Linked DNA regions of Arabidopsis thaliana. The protein of the gene in region 1 purifies or fractionates together with the protein of each later gene. This does not show direct contact. Each region holds a gene or a part of one and is shown in the gene's direction. Other genes may lie near its edges.

Region 1 (10,872 bases):
CCACATCAAAACTTTGATAATTTATAAAACAATATATAAGTATGTGGTAAATCTTTATTTTTGAGCTAGCTTTTATGTATGAGTTAGGCTCATACTAATACAAACAATAATTAAAACGGGTTATTTGTTGGTCGTTGGTCGTTAGTGTTAAAGAAATGAATAACAAAACACGTTGCTTATTGTTATCGGTAATCATTTTTCGTTAGTAAAATAAACAATACTTAAATATAACTTCTTTTTTTTTTTTTCTTTTTTTTTTTTGAATATCAGGAGGTTCTGGGCCGGAGCCCGTAATCCCCAGGCCCGAAACCACAACATGTAATATTAGTTTCGTTGTCACTCAAACCGGCGACCTCTAAATTTCGCTTAAAGTATTTATCAATTGAGCTAACGACACTTGATTAAATATAACTCTTCCCATCACCTCTTCCAAAAAAAGGAATAAGTAAGACTATAACATTACTTTTCCTGATAACGATATATCGCGAACCTTCACGAAAGTATCATTAGGTTCAGTGGCAGAGAGATAGTTTATATTTTTGATTCATATTTGTTAATTTGTGATTCAGTTATGAAATCTTGCTGGGTCTTAAAAAAGAGAAGAATCGTGTTGTTTTCATATGTTTATAAAATTGAAAATACAATTGTCAATTTATTTTTAATTATGTGACCATTTCTACGACGAATGATCTAATCACAAGCGTAGTTGAAAACTTATCGCCCTCGCTATATTGATGTCAGTGTATTAACAAAATTATCATTATGCTAGTACTTATAATTATATGAATAAATAATAAACACTTGGATTCTAATATGTTCGCATGAGGATGAAAGTAAACTTTTATGCAAAACAAACTTATTATATATTATTGGTGTTCTATTTGGATTCTGTCTGCTGAACTGTATGGTTGTATTAAAACATATATACAATCTTTTACTTGTGTTTGTGGTAGAAATGGAAAATAGAAAAAAGAAGTGATAGAAACAAAAGTAATTTGGGGTATTGTAGTACTAGCGTTAGTTTTCTAAAAAATACCACTTAAAATTAGTATTTACAGATAACAGTTTAGCGAGCATAACTTACTGAATAGTTTCAAAATTGTTTTTAACAGACCTCTGTAAAAATTTAATTAGCGACCTTTTCTATGCTAAAATATTTTTCAAGTGTTTATATATAATCAATTGATATATCAAACAGAATCAAAAGCAAGGGTTAATTTGCAAAATGGCTAATTTTTTTTATAGTTGCTAAAAATATAATTTTAAATAACTAACTAAAAGCAAATGAAAAAGTACTTTAATAGTTGACCTTCAAAAATATTTCATTTAATATTCACGTAGAGCTACTCGTTTTATTCATTGGTAAAATTTAAGAAAACGTGGTAACAAATGATTTTCTTTTTTGGAGGCTAATATAATAATGAATACTATTAAGTACGAGAGAAAAAAAAGATTAGGCTAAGAACTAATAATAATGGAATGATGGAATATAAAAATTCTATTTTGTTTGGATGATCTAACCTTTCATTTAACCTAAATGGGTGATTTTCTTTTCTGTAATATATCACTTTTATATTATATGATTTTAATGTTAACAGATTTTATTAAATAGAGTTGAAGCTATATGATTTCAGGATGCCATATCATACTAATATTCTACGTACAAAACAATTTAGCACAGAAATAGTTTTACCGAAAACTAATTGATGGCAAGAAATCACATGATTATTATTTTTTGTAATTTGTTTTGTATATTTTCCATTAATATTTTGCTAATTAACTCAGCTAAAAATGTTTCAAAAAATAGATCTGATTATTTGGATGTTGGTTTTATATTTCCTTGTTATAAAAACAAAGAATATGACGAATAAATTTAACTTTTTGAAATCCTAAAAAAAAAAGCATACACATTTAAATAAATACTTTTATGTATTTACCTATGAAAGTTAAATTGATTTTGTCTATCAGATACATAAATGATCAAATAATAAATGAGAAAAACCTGCCCATATGTGCCGATATATATCCAGTTGAATTAAACCATCATCTTCTTGTTTCTTTGTTTTTAAAATTCTCTTATGAAATCGATCTTTTAGATAAAATACAATCGAATTTATGGAAGCAAGAAAAAAAAATTACGTAGGGGAGGTGTATTATTGGGGGACCCAGCACGATCAAAAAGTCAATATTCATCAGCCAATTTGCTGAATAAATAAATAAATAACCTTGAAAACAATTTTTGGTTAAATTACAAAAATAATGATATCCACAAACATGTGAATTGTTCCAGCAATTGCTGACCTTGCCATGAGGCACCTTGGAAGAGCCATTGCTTCATTACAATCCTTTAAAGCCATAAATATGAGATTAGGATTACCAAAATTTCACATATAACAAATTGTTTTATATCATTACTAGCTTAATATGTGTTTTATTATAGTTTTAGATCGACGTCATCTGAATATTTTCCCCCAAACTCCTAAATTTTATAATCTGTGTCTAAACCTAATTTTATATTTCAAAACATCCCTTTTTCTGGAAGAAACTTGTCTTTTAATTTTTTTTTTTTTTTTCACACTTGTCTTTTAATTTCCTTAAGAGACCAAATCAAGTTAATTTAGTGTACTCACCACCTTTAAAACAGGTCAAGTTAATTTATTTGAACATCAGTAATAAATTTATGAACATCTCTTTTCAACATCGGTATTCTTAAATAGTGTTTTAGAATCGTCATTTTAACTTTATGTTTCACTAAACTTAGAAAATATTTAGTTTTTTTTATCTCAATTAGTAATTATCATTTAAATTTTTATTTTCTCGGTTTCTACTTCGCCACTATTATTTAACATATTATTAAACAAATTAGTATTATACGGGTTGATTTTAATTTTCCAATTACAAATTAATTAAAATTCAACTTTTTGATTGGTTGTATAATCCGAAGGAAAAATGTTTACATACGAATTGTTTTAAAAACACTTTGATTTAAAAGTCCGACCTAAACAATCAACATGAAAATTAAACTTATGAGCAAATTAGGTTGATCTAGAAAATAACTTTTGCATTTGTCTCATAGGGAATTATAAAGTTAGTATCTACACACATATATCAAATATACATGTTATATCTATATTACTCTCTCTCTCTCTCTCTCTCTCTCTCTATATATATATATATATATATATATGTATATTCACAAATCCATGTATGTATTTTAAATTTTGTTTGTTTTTTTTTTCCTTCAAAATGAGTAACTTATATAGAAGTCATTAAGATTAGCTTTGCACAACTCTTTGGGAACAAAAAAGAACCCAAATTTTAAGCATTATTCAATGTTCATATAATTATTATGTATATTATTTTTCCTTATTGATTATCAATTTTATATACACAAAAAGATATCAGTGAAGAACTTATGATTGTGCATATTTTCTGTCCATACATAACCACAATATTAATCAAAAATTTAAATTTATCTTAGATATTTTTCTTATGATAATTCAATACTGTATAATTTTTTAAAATCTATACATTACAGTTTTGTCTTTTAAATCATATTCTAATATGCATAAATATCTAGAAAAATACTAACTCCATAGAATTAAATTTCTTATGTAAGTTTAGTATATTATCCTAAATTTGTGTTAATGTTAAGATTTCTACTAAATTTGATACTCAAAAGTAAAAAGTTTCTCTTAATAGAAAAAAATAAATATAGATTCTCTTACATTACAGGATCAGAGTATAAAACCAGTTTAAGTAAACAATGTTTCAAAAAACAGTATGATATCTGAAATTTTAATTATAAAACCAAAAATCCAAAGTCAAATATACGTTTTCCAAGTGAGAAAGGACCCATAAACAATTAACAACCATTGATGATCACCAAATCATAATCAACGGTCGAAATGAATGAAAAATAAAAGTCTGAAACGGTGGAGAGTTTCGTCGTTTTGAGTGGTTATAAAAAGAGAAGGCGTATATCTCCTCTGCAACAGAAGCTCGCTTTCTCTCTCTCTCTCTCGTGTGTGTGTGTGTGATCGAGTGGTGAAACGACAGAGAGGGGCGTCGTTTTGTTGATTTCTTCTGGGTGAAGATGTCAGGTCTCGAAGATATCAAGAACGAGACCGTTGATCTGGTATTATTTCGATTCTCTTCTCGCTTAAATTCTTCGAGTTTTTAATTTCATTTTTAGTGTTTATTCATCATGCCCACAAAGTGTTCGATGATTTGCTTGAATGAGAAATAGATCTGTTTCGTTGTTGTTCCTTGCATGGTTTCACGTTTGATTCTTTTACCCTTTTTTCTTCAAATCATTTTCCGATGATTCTACTCCTTTTTTCTTTGATCGAAAACTGAATCTTAATTCCTCAAGAACCCGAAAAATCCGCAAAAAAAAAAAAAACCGATTTTTCCCCCCAATTGTATCTGCCTCATTTTCGATGATTCTATCATGGATCCTATACAAAACCCAAATCAAGATTCCAACTTTATTAATTTTGGTCTAAAATTAGGGTAAAATAACAGATGTCTTTTAAAGGTTTTAGGTATTAAGCCAAAAATAAGTAGATTTTGATACTGTTCATCAGAAAAAGTAGATCTACCCAAAAACTACACACATGTGAAACGCTGAATAAAAAGATAAGTCTTTTTAGTGGTGGAGCTAAGCTTAAGCTACGTCTCAACAAAAGTCTCTTTCACATATTTATTAAAAGAGAAAAAAATCGCAAAAAGTTTGATTTTGCTTGTGATATATAACTTTCTTTCTCTAAAAAAAATCATCTTTTTTTTGTAAAGATAACGTTTTTGATGTTAAAGCAGTTCATAATATTCTTCTATCTTCCACCCATGAAAAATACCAGAGTTTTTAATAAATTTAAGTTTTCAACTTTTTTTTAAATTGTTGTTGATGTTCGAATTTTTTTGATGTACCTTTCCGTAGTACGTTTTTTTTTTTTTTGAACTTCTTTGTCCTTTTGTAAAACATCTATCAGTAGAAGCAACTTGTGAATTCCTCTATTGTAATTGATTTTGTTTAGTGAAATTGTTTTATGACCGAAATACCCTTAACCGGACTTTGGCTTTCACGCCGGAAAGTAGCCACCTTTCATGGAGGGAATCCCGCAGGCGCGTGTGTTACACGTTCCATAACACGTGCATTGAAGTAGTAGTAGTAGTGGTGGTGGTGGTGGTGGTCCCTCTATCCTCCACTGCCAGATTCTTTTCACCTTTCATTGTCACAACTTGAGTCAACGCCACTCTTCATCTTCCGAGTCGCCGAGTTGGATCGTTTCTGACATTTGTAAAAAGATTTCAAAACTAGAAAAGTTTTTGTCTTTTTTACCCTTTTGTTCTTGTTTGATGTTTGAGTTACTATTGTTTGGGTTCTGATCAAAACTTTTGCTTTGATTCTCAGGAAAAAATTCCGATTGAGGAAGTTTTCCAGCAGCTAAAATGTACAAGGGAAGGATTGACAACGCAGGAAGGGGAAGACAGGATTGTGATATTTGGCCCCAACAAGCTCGAAGAGAAGAAGGTTTGAGTTTGACTTAGCATTGTTGTTTTATCATCATTGAAAGCTTTGGTTTTGTTTAACTCACGAGGTTGATCTTTCGTAAAAAAATATCAGGAAAGCAAAATTCTGAAGTTTCTGGGGTTCATGTGGAATCCGCTTTCATGGGTTATGGAAGCTGCAGCTCTCATGGCCATTGCTTTGGCTAATGGTGATAATCGACCTCCGGATTGGCAAGATTTTGTGGGTATTATCTGTCTGCTTGTTATCAACTCCACAATCAGTTTCATTGAAGAAAACAACGCCGGAAATGCTGCAGCTGCTCTCATGGCTGGTCTTGCTCCTAAAACCAAGGTAATATGTTGGTGGATGCTGTGACATTACTGTACAAGATATTTCGAGACTTCTAGAGAGCTTAACCTGTTTCTCTGTTTTCAGGTTCTTAGGGATGGAAAATGGAGTGAACAAGAGGCTGCTATCCTTGTCCCAGGTGATATTGTTAGCATTAAACTTGGAGACATTATCCCAGCCGATGCCCGTCTTCTTGAAGGAGATCCTTTAAAGGTTGATCAGTCTGCTCTAACTGGAGAGTCCCTTCCTGTGACCAAGCACCCTGGTCAAGAAGTTTTCTCTGGTTCAACTTGTAAACAAGGAGAAATCGAAGCGGTTGTTATAGCCACTGGAGTTCACACCTTCTTTGGTAAAGCTGCTCACCTTGTGGACAGCACTAACCAAGTTGGGCACTTCCAGAAAGTTCTTACATCCATTGGAAACTTCTGTATCTGTTCTATTGCTATTGGTATAGCGATTGAAATAGTCGTCATGTACCCTATCCAACACCGAAAGTACAGAGATGGAATTGACAATCTCTTGGTCCTCTTGATCGGTGGTATCCCCATTGCTATGCCCACGGTCTTGTCTGTGACTATGGCTATCGGGTCTCACAGGTTGTCTCAGCAAGGTGCTATCACCAAACGTATGACAGCCATTGAAGAAATGGCGGGAATGGATGTCCTTTGCAGTGACAAAACCGGGACACTAACCCTTAATAAATTGAGTGTGGATAAAAACTTGGTTGAGGTTTTCTGCAAGGGTGTGGAGAAAGATCAAGTTCTACTATTTGCAGCTATGGCTTCTAGGGTGGAGAACCAGGACGCTATTGATGCAGCCATGGTTGGAATGCTTGCTGATCCGAAAGAGGTATAACTCTAATCATTTTGAATTACTTCTTTAGTTTAGTGAAAGGTCGAGAAAACAAGTTCTTAATTTCTTATGTTTCACTTGGATTTTCATAGGCCCGAGCTGGAATCAGAGAGGTTCACTTCCTTCCATTCAACCCTGTGGATAAGAGAACTGCTTTGACTTACATCGACTCTGATGGTAACTGGCACAGAGTCAGCAAAGGTGCTCCCGAGCAGGTGATGAATCTTCAACTTTCTCCTAAAGATGTTGCGTTTTTCCTTTATTCTGTGTACTAATTCGATTCTCCCACACAGATCCTTGACCTTGCCAATGCCAGGCCTGACCTTAGGAAGAAGGTACTCTCTTGTATTGACAAGTACGCTGAGCGCGGTCTTAGGTCGTTGGCAGTAGCTCGTCAGGTACTTTTTTACAAGCAATTTTTACATTGGTCTTATTTGGGTTTTTTTTTTGGCCTGTAAATCAACTGTTTAATTGCATATTCCTTTTTAGGTGGTACCCGAGAAAACAAAAGAAAGCCCAGGTGGACCATGGGAATTTGTTGGCTTGTTGCCTCTTTTTGACCCTCCAAGACACGACAGTGCCGAAACCATTCGTAGGGCGTTGAATCTAGGTGTTAATGTGAAGATGATCACTGGTAACTATTCTTATTCATCATTTTTTTCCCATGAAATCCATGGTTATTTAGATGTTTTCCCCTAACTTGCGCTCTAACTACGTTGCCAGGTGATCAACTTGCTATTGGTAAGGAAACCGGTCGCAGGCTTGGAATGGGAACCAATATGTATCCATCTGCGGCTCTTCTCGGTACCGACAAGGACTCGAACATTGCATCCATCCCTGTTGAGGAGTTGATCGAGAAGGCTGATGGGTTTGCCGGCGTCTTTCCAGGTTATGCCTTGCTTTCAGTTTCAAACCTCATCACATGTTCATTATAAAGTTTTGTTATATTGATCCAAGGTTCTTATGGTTACTGATTGCAGAGCACAAATATGAAATTGTGAAAAAGCTGCAGGAGAGGAAGCACATTGTTGGTATGACCGGTGATGGTGTTAATGATGCACCCGCTTTGAAGAAAGCAGATATCGGTATTGCTGTGGCCGATGCTACAGATGCTGCTCGTGGTGCTTCAGATATCGTCCTCACGGAACCTGGGCTGAGTGTCATCATCAGTGCCGTTCTCACTAGCAGAGCTATCTTCCAGAGAATGAAGAACTACACCGTGCGTATTCTTAATCTCACTCTAATATATTATGCCCACCACTTGTGTTCGTTTGCGCTGGAAACTAATAATTTTAGTTTCCTGCTTGTGACAGATTTATGCAGTCTCAATCACAATCCGTATTGTGGTAAGTAGAAACCCGTTTTACAAATCTATCACTTGTTTAGCATGATTTTACTTTTTGTATACTGATCATATTGCGTTGTAACTCTTGCAGTTTGGTTTCATGCTTATTGCTTTGATATGGGAATTTGACTTCTCAGCGTTCATGGTTCTGATTATTGCCATCCTTAATGATGGTGAGCAAATAACATCCTACTTTTCTAGACAGCGTCCTCACTCGTTATCAGCTATATCTTATGGTATTATGTGTTACTACCTTTTAGGTACTATCATGACAATCTCAAAGGACAGAGTCAAGCCATCTCCCACACCTGATAGCTGGAAGCTCAAAGAAATTTTCGCCACTGGAATTGTGCTGGGAGGCTACCAAGCCATTATGAGTGTTATTTTCTTCTGGGCTGCTCACAAGACCGACTTTTTCTCGGTACATCATCAGTTTATTTTCATTTCTTTTCTCTTTTTTTTGGTACAGGTGCTTCAGGGACTATATAGATATATATGGCCAGGCCTTTTGCTCTGAGTCTTAAAAAATTGTCTCACCTTCGATTTGCAGGACAAGTTCGGTGTGAGGTCAATCAGGGACAATAACGATGAACTAATGGGTGCTGTGTATCTACAAGTTAGTATCATCAGTCAAGCTCTAATCTTTGTCACCAGGTCAAGGAGTTGGTCATTTGTCGAACGTCCTGGGGCGCTTCTGATGATTGCATTCGTCATTGCACAACTGGTAAGGACATCAAGCACACATATTTTCTGAACTTCGATTAGGTTAAAGAAACCCACTGAATTCATTCACTCCTTCCAAATGCAGGTTGCAACTTTGATCGCAGTGTATGCCGACTGGACATTTGCAAAGGTGAAGGGTATCGGTTGGGGATGGGCAGGTGTGATTTGGATTTACAGTATCGTAACATACTTCCCACAGGACATTTTGAAGTTTGCCATTCGGTATATCTTGAGTGGAAAGGCTTGGGCCAGCTTGTTTGACAACAGGGTACATACAAGTCTATCTACCACTATAGAGACCTCTTTTACAAGCTGATGGTAACATACTAATCACATCTTCTTCTATGTTAACAGACCGCTTTCACAACCAAGAAAGATTACGGTATTGGAGAAAGAGAAGCTCAATGGGCACAAGCTCAAAGGACATTGCACGGTCTGCAGCCAAAAGAAGATGTTAATATCTTCCCAGAGAAAGGAAGTTACAGAGAGCTGTCTGAGATCGCAGAGCAAGCCAAGAGAAGGGCCGAGATAGCTAGGTAAGTAGTGTGATTAAAACGAATCTCAACGGAAAGATGCCATTTGATAGAGGTTCTGATTGGTGAATGATTTAATATTATGTTGTGACAGGCTTAGGGAGCTTCACACATTGAAGGGACATGTGGAATCAGTCGCAAAGCTAAAGGGATTGGACATTGATACAGCAGGACATCACTACACTGTGTAGTTGGAGTTGCACAACAACACAAACATTTACCGAAAACCAACCCCATCATGACTCATCTTTTGTTTTGTCTTCACAAATCTCTCTTTAAAAGTCATTACAGTAGAGGGAAGAGAACTCTTGTGTATTGCCATAACTCTTCCAAAACTCTTTTTTCTTTTTGTTATTGTTAGTCATTGTTCTTAAAACTCCTACTCGATATGAGCTTTGCAAATTTGCCTTTGAAGAAACAAGGCCCTTTGCCTTTGAAGAGACAAGGCACTTTGCTTTTTAATGGCCTAATGTGATTATTCTATCACTCTTTTGTCTGTTTGATCAATTTCATCTTGAAGATAATATTTAAATTTAATTCTAAAACAAGAACATTCTTGGTTTTCGTATAGTTTTGGTTTTCATAAATCAAGATATTTACAATGTTGTAAATTCGAGCGAAAGAGAGTGATTAGCTAGCAATGCGAACTCACATTCGAGGGATGTGTTGTTCTCGAAAGATTATCATATAATCCAGTCCCGAAAGACTCTATCTCAAAAGACTCTATCATAGAAAGAAGATGAAGCCAACAACAAGACATTTACAATGAGAGAGCGTTTCAGCGAAGATGAAGACAACACAATATTTACAATGAGAGGGCTTCTCAGTGCTACGGCTCTTCTTCATGGGCAGACACTCAAGAAAACATGTTATTTGCAAGTTGCCAGATAATTACGAGAAAAGACATTCTCTCGTAATTCGGTTTTTGCAAATTCGAATACTTCGTAAATATCATGTAAATTTTGGGAAGAAAGATTTTCGTAATAGATCCTTCACAAAATATGTCTAGTAAATCATTGGCAAGTATTGCTATGGATTTGCAATAACTCTTTTAAATAATTTGATTTGACACAAAATAATAATATACATCCTTGCAAATCCGTAGTAATTTGCTATAGGGAAACTTAAGAAATTATAATAAAATAATATTAAAATTATTTACGATAATAATATAATACATGTAAATTGTATTGTTATTTGTAATTGCAGATGATCATTTGGCTGTTTGCACTACTATAAAACTTTATGCAAAACCAAAAGCAAAGAATGACTCTGCGAGTCACGTCCAAAGATATGGATGATGACTTCAAATCATATATATCACCATTCCTCTAAAAATAAGAATTATTTCAACTTTCTCTAAGCTGAAAGTAAATACTCTTCTTTCAAGTTGCTCGTGTAATCCAAATAATATTGATGGTGATGATGAATACATCAATTCAAAGCAGTGACAAATTCATCCACTGTGTTAATTATGACGAACATTATATCGTTATGTTTTGTGCAAAGACGAAAATTTATAATATGAAATAAAAATATGTGCACAAAAAATAATT
Region 2 (7,125 bases), on another chromosome or scaffold:
AGAAGAAGACCGTGAGGAAGAAAAAGACAAGGGAAGGGATGAAAAGGACACCAAGCATCAATCTCCAGCTAGGTGATGGCATCAACGACATTCCGAAAACCATACAGTAAGATAAGAACATCCCTCCAGAGCCAGTGAACTGCGGTAGCGTATTCAACAGTCCCCTAATCTCAGGTGGTGCAGTCTCAGATATATAAATAGGAACAAGTGTGACCACAAGACCAACCCCAAATCCATCTAACAACCTTCCTAAGAGCAACACATAAACATTCGGAGACCATAGCATTACTAGAGAACCAACAAAGTAGAGAATTGAGGACAATATTAGCATGGGACGGCGACCAAGCCAATCAGCTACCCCTCCAGAGCATGTTGTAATCAGAGTAGCACCAATAAGTGACATCGCCACAATTAGACCTTCCACTGATGGATTACTCTCCAAATTAAACTCCTTTTTTATGTACAACACAGCTCCTGCAGAGTACCCAAAGAAAACTTAAAATCCATCACACAAGCAAAAGAGATAAGCTAAAAGATCTGTGAATTGTATCCATAAAAATCCTGACTTTATCGATCCTAAATTTCATAAACAGAATTATGGATACAGAAGATAATCAATCACCTGCAATAGTTGCGTTATCCCATCCTTGTAACAAGTTGCCAACAGCAGCAGCAATAGCAACAAGCACAGCTCCACTCATAATTCCGTCTTCTATCTTTTATCAAGAAATCTGAAGAGAATTTCGCAAAAACAGAGTCACTGATCAACGACGATGAGTGAGTGAAACAAAATCCACCTGAAAATTCGAAAATCAGACACAATCACTTGGTGAGCTAAAAGATAAAACAGAGAGAGATAACACCAAAAAGCATGACCTAAGACTATAACAAACCCTTTAGTGACGTAAAAGACACATACCCAAAGGAGTTCTAGAAAAAAAAAACAGAGGTGAAACCTCAGATGTCAAAATCAAAACTTTGAATAAAATTTGACTACTTTTTATCTCTACCAAGTAGAAGAGAAAGTAAGAAAGTACGAGAGAATATGATATACAGAGAGAGAGATGAAAACTAGGGTTAGCAACTTGGAATTGGAGGCAGAAGAAGCCACTATCAGTGAGCCGCTGCTTCAATGGCGTCACTAAGCAATCATAAAGCATTGTTTACCCTTTTGGTTTAAATCAAAAAAAAAGAAAACGAAAGCTAGATTTCGAAGTAACCGTGAGAATATAAAAATGAATACTTTTTTTTTTTGTGCGGAAGGACAGTGAACAGAGAGAGAAGCCTATGGGATTAGTGACACCTGCCGTTTTGCTCCTGTCCTCTCAAACCACGTATGTGTATTGTGTGTGTATGTCTCTCTTCTCTTTCTCGTGTTTGCGTACAGAATTTTTTCAGAGAATTAAGTACATCTTTAAATTTTGTTATCTTTTCGATTTGGGTCCACGAGTTTATTCACGGGCCTATACAATCAAATTAATATCTCGAAATGTTTCTGCTTTTTACCATCTTCGCTTTCATGAAGTAAAGGTAAAAACGGATATTAATTTGGGATTTTGTATGTAAAAAGATGAGTTTAATGTCGGCATAATTGGGGAAAAATATTTGGTGTTTTTTTGTAAATATGAAACAAATATAGGATTGGTTTTTGAAATCTTAGATTCATTGGGACTTATACGAGAAACTAGAGATAAATATCTGAGTTTTCTGAAAACAAAGTTATTGGTAAAGTAAAGTTTAGTTTGTTTACATCCGGAAAGCATCTTCAAATCATTTCAACTTTACATAATTAATCAAGAAAGAAAGAAACAATGCAATAATGGAGAATAATGTCCAAAGTCCAAATACAATGAGACACTTTAACTTTAGTTAATTGTGAGTCGTATTCGTATGTTACAATATAATGAATAGTTTTTTCTTCTTCACTTTACTATTCTTCTTACAGATTAAAAGGGAAGAAAAAGAATGTATAAAAAATCATATTGAGTTTTTTTTTTTTTTAGAACCGAGTACCAAATTCGATATACAGTCTCTAATTCTAAATGAATAACATTAACAAATTTTGATCAACGAAAAACAAACCATGTGACTACGACAACTACTGGTTTTCTGAAAATAAATATCTATCGTCCGTATATCAAAACTTGATATGTATAAAACAAAAGATATATTGTTAAACGTCGTTGTTAAAGTTCGTATATTTGACCGCAAAGATTACCATAAATGTATTTAGAACATAGGAAAAACATCTAATTGGTTAATAAATATTTATGACTCCATATTTCTTAGATATTTTCCGGAAATGAACGTAGTACAAGCGTTATGTTTGGAACTACAGTACACACCACAGAATATAAACACGCAATAGAATCTTTTTTCATAGACTTTGAAAGTTATGGCATGTGAATGCGAATATATAAAGATTCTTGTCCACATCCTCAATTAATCATCATCATTGCTTCTTAAAAATTCCGTAGAATGAGGAGAAACGTACCATTTATGTTTACTGGTAGTAGTGATTACTGATTTAAGATATTATTCTTGGGAAAGAAACATCTAGTAACAACATTTTGAAAAGAAAAAAATCAGAATGATTATTACGGAAAAATGAAAAATTCAATAACGTTATGTTTGTCACCAAACTAATGTTAAAACGAATTCAAACCAAGTTGGAGAGATGTTACAGGACAGTTTTGCTAAAAAAAATCAGCCAGCACATTGATACAAAACCCAAAATATAATTTTGCTTGTGTACGTGGAGGTGTCAAATTTGATTCAGTCTTGTGAAAATGTCAATTTGATAGCGTTTATAATTAAAATTTTCGGTTCTTTTTTTTATCTGGAATTGAAATGTGTAATATGTTATCATTTTAGGCCTTATTGTAAGGTCTAAAGTCTAAAACAATACAATAATACGGCCTTTGGGGTGTCTGAATTTTGTATTTGAACATTGGGCTGGATCAGTGAATAAACAAGGCCCAAAAGTAAAACTTATTAGGGATTATGTGCGGGGCTCCAGAAAGTTGCAATATATGGAAAAGTCAATCTCTTACGTCATAATAGTCAGTGACGCCATAATACTGTTTAAATATTTGGCATATCTTTATCTTAAGAAAAAATCTCAAGAGATTACTATTCTTTCTGATAGGAGATTGAATGAACGGTTGCTTCTTTTACAAGTAGATCACATGTATTTAAATTAGTCTTCTCATACGACGAGAATAAAACCATCGTGCTTAATACTTAAATTTTTTTACAATTAACGGTAACTAGTAAAACCAGAAATGCATTTTGATTTTGTACAAACCAACATTCTAATTTTAGTTTTTTTTTTCAATTACAATTTAAACGATAAACAAAAGAGAAACTGGTTTAAATTTAATAATGCAAAAGCAGAAGAAAGAAGGTGAGAGGAAACAGCGGAGAGAGACAGAGTCAGAGAGGTGTAGAAGTAGTAGCTGGTGAGCACTAATAAAAGACCTTTCTTCGCTCAATCGCCGCCGTAAAATAAAACACCATCACATTCTCATCCAACGAATCTAATCTATCCGACCAAACCAAAGCTCTTAAAAAATCTATTTTTATTCTTACTTCAATCTCTGAAATAAATAAACATAAAATATTGTAGCTTTCCTTTGTTGTTCGACTTTTCTCTTTTGTCTCCCCTAAATTTAGTTTCTCCTTTTAAGTCAGATTCCTTCCTAATCCCATTCTTTCAGTCTTCTCTTTCGCCCTTCTGAGTTCAACAACTGGTAACTAGATCCTCTTTTTGCTTTACTTCATTCTCTGTTTTGTTATTCCTTTAAAAGATCCATCGAAACTTCTTAGCTCTTTGTCTTTTTTTTGGTTATTTTGACTCTTTGATCTGATGTGGGTTTTGCGTCTTTCTTTACTTGTGGTATTGTTAAAGTTCGTTACTTTGTTCTCGTTTAGCTTCTTGTATTTGGTCTAATTTAAGTCTTTTGACTTTTGACAGTGTTATCTCTATGAACAGTTCCTTTGATGAAGAACACAAAGTGAAAGTTGCTGTCTTTATAACCAGGATTTGGTAATTCCCATTGTTTCATGGGCAATTCTTGCCGTGGATCTTTCAAGGACAAACTCGACGAAGGCGATAACAATAAGCCTGAAGATTACTCTAAAACCTCTACCACCAACTTGTCTTCTAATTCCGACCATTCACCGAACGCTGCAGACATCATTGCTCAAGAATTCTCCAAAGACAACAACAGCAACAACAACAGCAAAGATCCAGCTCTTGTTATTCCTTTAAGAGAACCAATCATGAGGCGTAACCCAGACAATCAAGCTTACTATGTTCTTGGTCATAAGACACCAAACATTCGTGATATCTATACCCTTAGCCGCAAGCTAGGTCAAGGTCAATTTGGAACGACTTATCTATGTACAGAGATTGCCTCAGGCGTTGACTACGCTTGTAAGTCAATATCCAAGAGGAAGTTGATCTCTAAAGAAGATGTTGAGGATGTTAGAAGGGAGATTCAGATAATGCATCATTTAGCTGGTCACGGTAGTATCGTGACGATTAAAGGAGCTTATGAGGACTCTTTGTATGTTCACATTGTTATGGAGCTTTGTGCTGGAGGTGAATTGTTTGATAGGATTATTCAGAGAGGACATTATAGTGAGAGGAAAGCTGCTGAGCTGACTAAGATCATTGTCGGTGTTGTTGAAGCGTGTCATTCGCTTGGTGTGATGCATAGAGACTTGAAGCCTGAGAATTTCTTATTGGTTAATAAGGATGATGATTTCTCTCTCAAGGCTATTGATTTTGGGCTATCTGTCTTTTTCAAACCAGGTAAAGTGTTTGAAGCTTTTAGTTAATGTTTTGCTTAACTAGGCTGGTAAAAGAATCTTATGAAACAGAATGTGACTTTCAGGTCAAATATTCACTGATGTTGTTGGAAGTCCATATTATGTTGCTCCTGAGGTTTTGCTCAAACGTTATGGGCCTGAAGCTGATGTGTGGACTGCTGGTGTTATATTGTATATATTGCTAAGCGGAGTCCCACCTTTCTGGGCAGGTATTTGTCATTTTCCATGTTAGCCTGTTTCTTAGTCATGTAGAAAGTCTAAGTCACCTGAAATGTGTTTTGTATTGTCGTTTTTGGAATCAGAAACACAGCAAGGGATATTTGATGCTGTGTTGAAAGGATATATCGACTTTGAGTCAGACCCGTGGCCTGTGATATCCGACAGTGCTAAAGACTTGATCCGCAGAATGTTATCCTCCAAGCCTGCAGAACGTTTGACCGCTCATGAAGTCTTGCGTACGTATTCACATAAATGATTACTTATAGTGACAACCAAACAGCATTAGACTAATATCCTTTTTTCAGGTCATCCATGGATCTGTGAGAATGGTGTTGCACCAGATAGAGCACTAGATCCAGCTGTTCTTTCTCGTCTCAAGCAATTCTCTGCAATGAATAAACTAAAGAAGATGGCTTTGAAGGTGAGTGATTTTGTGCGTAAACCCTTTATCTTCTTTGGTCTCTGCATCACTTCTCATGAAACTGTTTGTTTTACTCTTTGTTTTGGGCTCATCAGGTTATAGCTGAGAGTCTCTCGGAAGAAGAGATAGCTGGTTTAAGAGAAATGTTTCAAGCAATGGATACTGATAACAGCGGGGCAATCACATTTGATGAACTCAAAGCTGGGCTGAGAAAATATGGATCTACCTTGAAAGACACAGAGATCCATGATCTTATGGATGCGGTAAAAATCTAACCTTATTTGGTTAAGTACATTGACAATGAAGTATTGTTATGTATTCTTACACTCAGCTCTTTTATTGACCAGGCTGATGTAGACAACAGTGGGACAATAGATTACAGTGAGTTCATTGCAGCGACGATCCATCTCAACAAACTAGAGCGGGAAGAGCATCTTGTTGCAGCGTTTCAATATTTTGACAAAGATGGAAGCGGTTTCATAACAATTGATGAGCTACAACAAGCGTGTGTTGAACATGGCATGGCTGATGTTTTCCTTGAAGACATCATCAAAGAAGTTGATCAAAACAATGTAAGCTTATATGATGATCTGTTCCACATTCCTCGCTAGGCTAATGTCGAGGCATCAGCTGATAAAAAGTCTTATCGGTTCTTATGTTGGTCTGAACAGGATGGAAAGATTGATTATGGTGAGTTTGTGGAGATGATGCAAAAGGGAAATGCTGGTGTTGGAAGAAGGACGATGAGAAATAGTCTAAACATTAGCATGAGAGACGCGTAGAGGTTGTTTTCCCCGGTGTTTAATATGTTAGTGCGATCGTGACTGCGAAAATGTTCTTATTCATGGAATCAACAACCTCAATGCTCACCACCTAGAAGGCGATGAAAGAAGACCAAACCGGATTCATACCTGTGGATGGTTCGAGTTTTGTTTAACGACTGTGTGATTAATCGTCAAGTAGTTTTGGAGGTTTTTTCTTTACCTCTTTGTTGTTTGTTCATTATGGCCATTGTTGAAGTTAGTGAGCTTTGTTCATCATCTGCCATTGTTAAACTTTGTTCACTTGTATTTGAAAAAAACAAAAATGTCTTTGTATGTTGTGTGATTTCTAAGCATTTTTACTTTGAAAATCTATTTCTTCTTTTCTAGACGATCACGACCCTTCATCCATATCGGACTACACAACTCGATATTGAATAAATTTATATGAGAATAGTACCAATGGCCTATGATGTGGAAGATGATGAGCTAGCAAGTCTCAATCATGTAAATGAAAGTGCTTTTTCTAAGTAATCTGTATTTAAACTCAAATAAAACCAAAACTCAAAGCTGTTCCAAGCAAATTATTCATTGGCCACAATCTGTAATTTGGAACATTATGCACCAAAACCATTTTTAATGTATTTTACATATACAGGTTTTTTGGTACTTCTCCTATACACATGGCATATTCATATTAACAAAAAATATTTATTTTGGTGTCACTTTTCATATTTTATTAGTGTAAAATAACCTCTTCTTAAGAGTAACGTATGGCAATTTGGTCAGCTTTGTTATTTAAAAATTATATGTTAATTAGCTAAAATACGATCATTTGTACCCAAATTCTCTTAATTTAAAACTAGTCCGACTTGAAAGTAAAAGTTT

The links. The genes of interacting proteins can lie anywhere in the genome.
Region 2: the proteins of HA1 (region 1) and CPK5 fractionate together in Arabidopsis thaliana (co-fractionation; one study listed by BioGRID). This does not show direct contact.

What each region holds. Positions count from the first base shown.
Region 1 is NC_003071.7:8,217,762-8,228,633, forward strand, and holds HA1 (H[+]-ATPase 1), read left to right. Parts: upstream 1-3,752; 5' UTR 3,753-4,096; coding exon 4,097-4,138; intron 4,139-4,391; exon of another isoform or gene 4,392-5,416; coding exon 5,417-5,536; intron 5,537-5,629; coding exon 5,630-5,866; intron 5,867-5,950; coding exon 5,951-6,712; intron 6,713-6,807; coding exon 6,808-6,930; intron 6,931-7,008; coding exon 7,009-7,113; intron 7,114-7,204; coding exon 7,205-7,349; intron 7,350-7,438; coding exon 7,439-7,603; intron 7,604-7,695; coding exon 7,696-7,934; intron 7,935-8,028; coding exon 8,029-8,061; intron 8,062-8,151; coding exon 8,152-8,233; intron 8,234-8,320; coding exon 8,321-8,481; intron 8,482-8,610; coding exon 8,611-8,784; intron 8,785-8,868; coding exon 8,869-9,051; intron 9,052-9,137; coding exon 9,138-9,319; intron 9,320-9,410; coding exon 9,411-9,507; 3' UTR 9,508-9,861; downstream 9,862-10,872. UniProt on the Arabidopsis thaliana protein: The plasma membrane H(+) ATPase of plants and fungi generates a proton gradient that drives the active transport of nutrients by H(+)-symport. The resulting external acidification and/or internal alkinization may mediate growth responses.
Region 2 is NC_003075.7:16,798,371-16,805,495, forward strand, and holds CPK5 (calmodulin-domain protein kinase 5), read left to right. Parts: upstream 1-3,234; 5' UTR 3,235-3,752; intron 3,753-3,976; 5' UTR 3,977-4,065; coding exon 4,066-4,819; intron 4,820-4,901; coding exon 4,902-5,045; intron 5,046-5,138; coding exon 5,139-5,291; intron 5,292-5,360; coding exon 5,361-5,476; intron 5,477-5,571; coding exon 5,572-5,739; intron 5,740-5,823; coding exon 5,824-6,048; intron 6,049-6,147; coding exon 6,148-6,258; 3' UTR 6,259-6,625; downstream 6,626-7,125. Other genes in the region: TMT2 (tonoplast monosaccharide transporter2), read right to left, coding at 1-474, 623-701. UniProt on the Arabidopsis thaliana protein: May play a role in signal transduction pathways that involve calcium as a second messenger.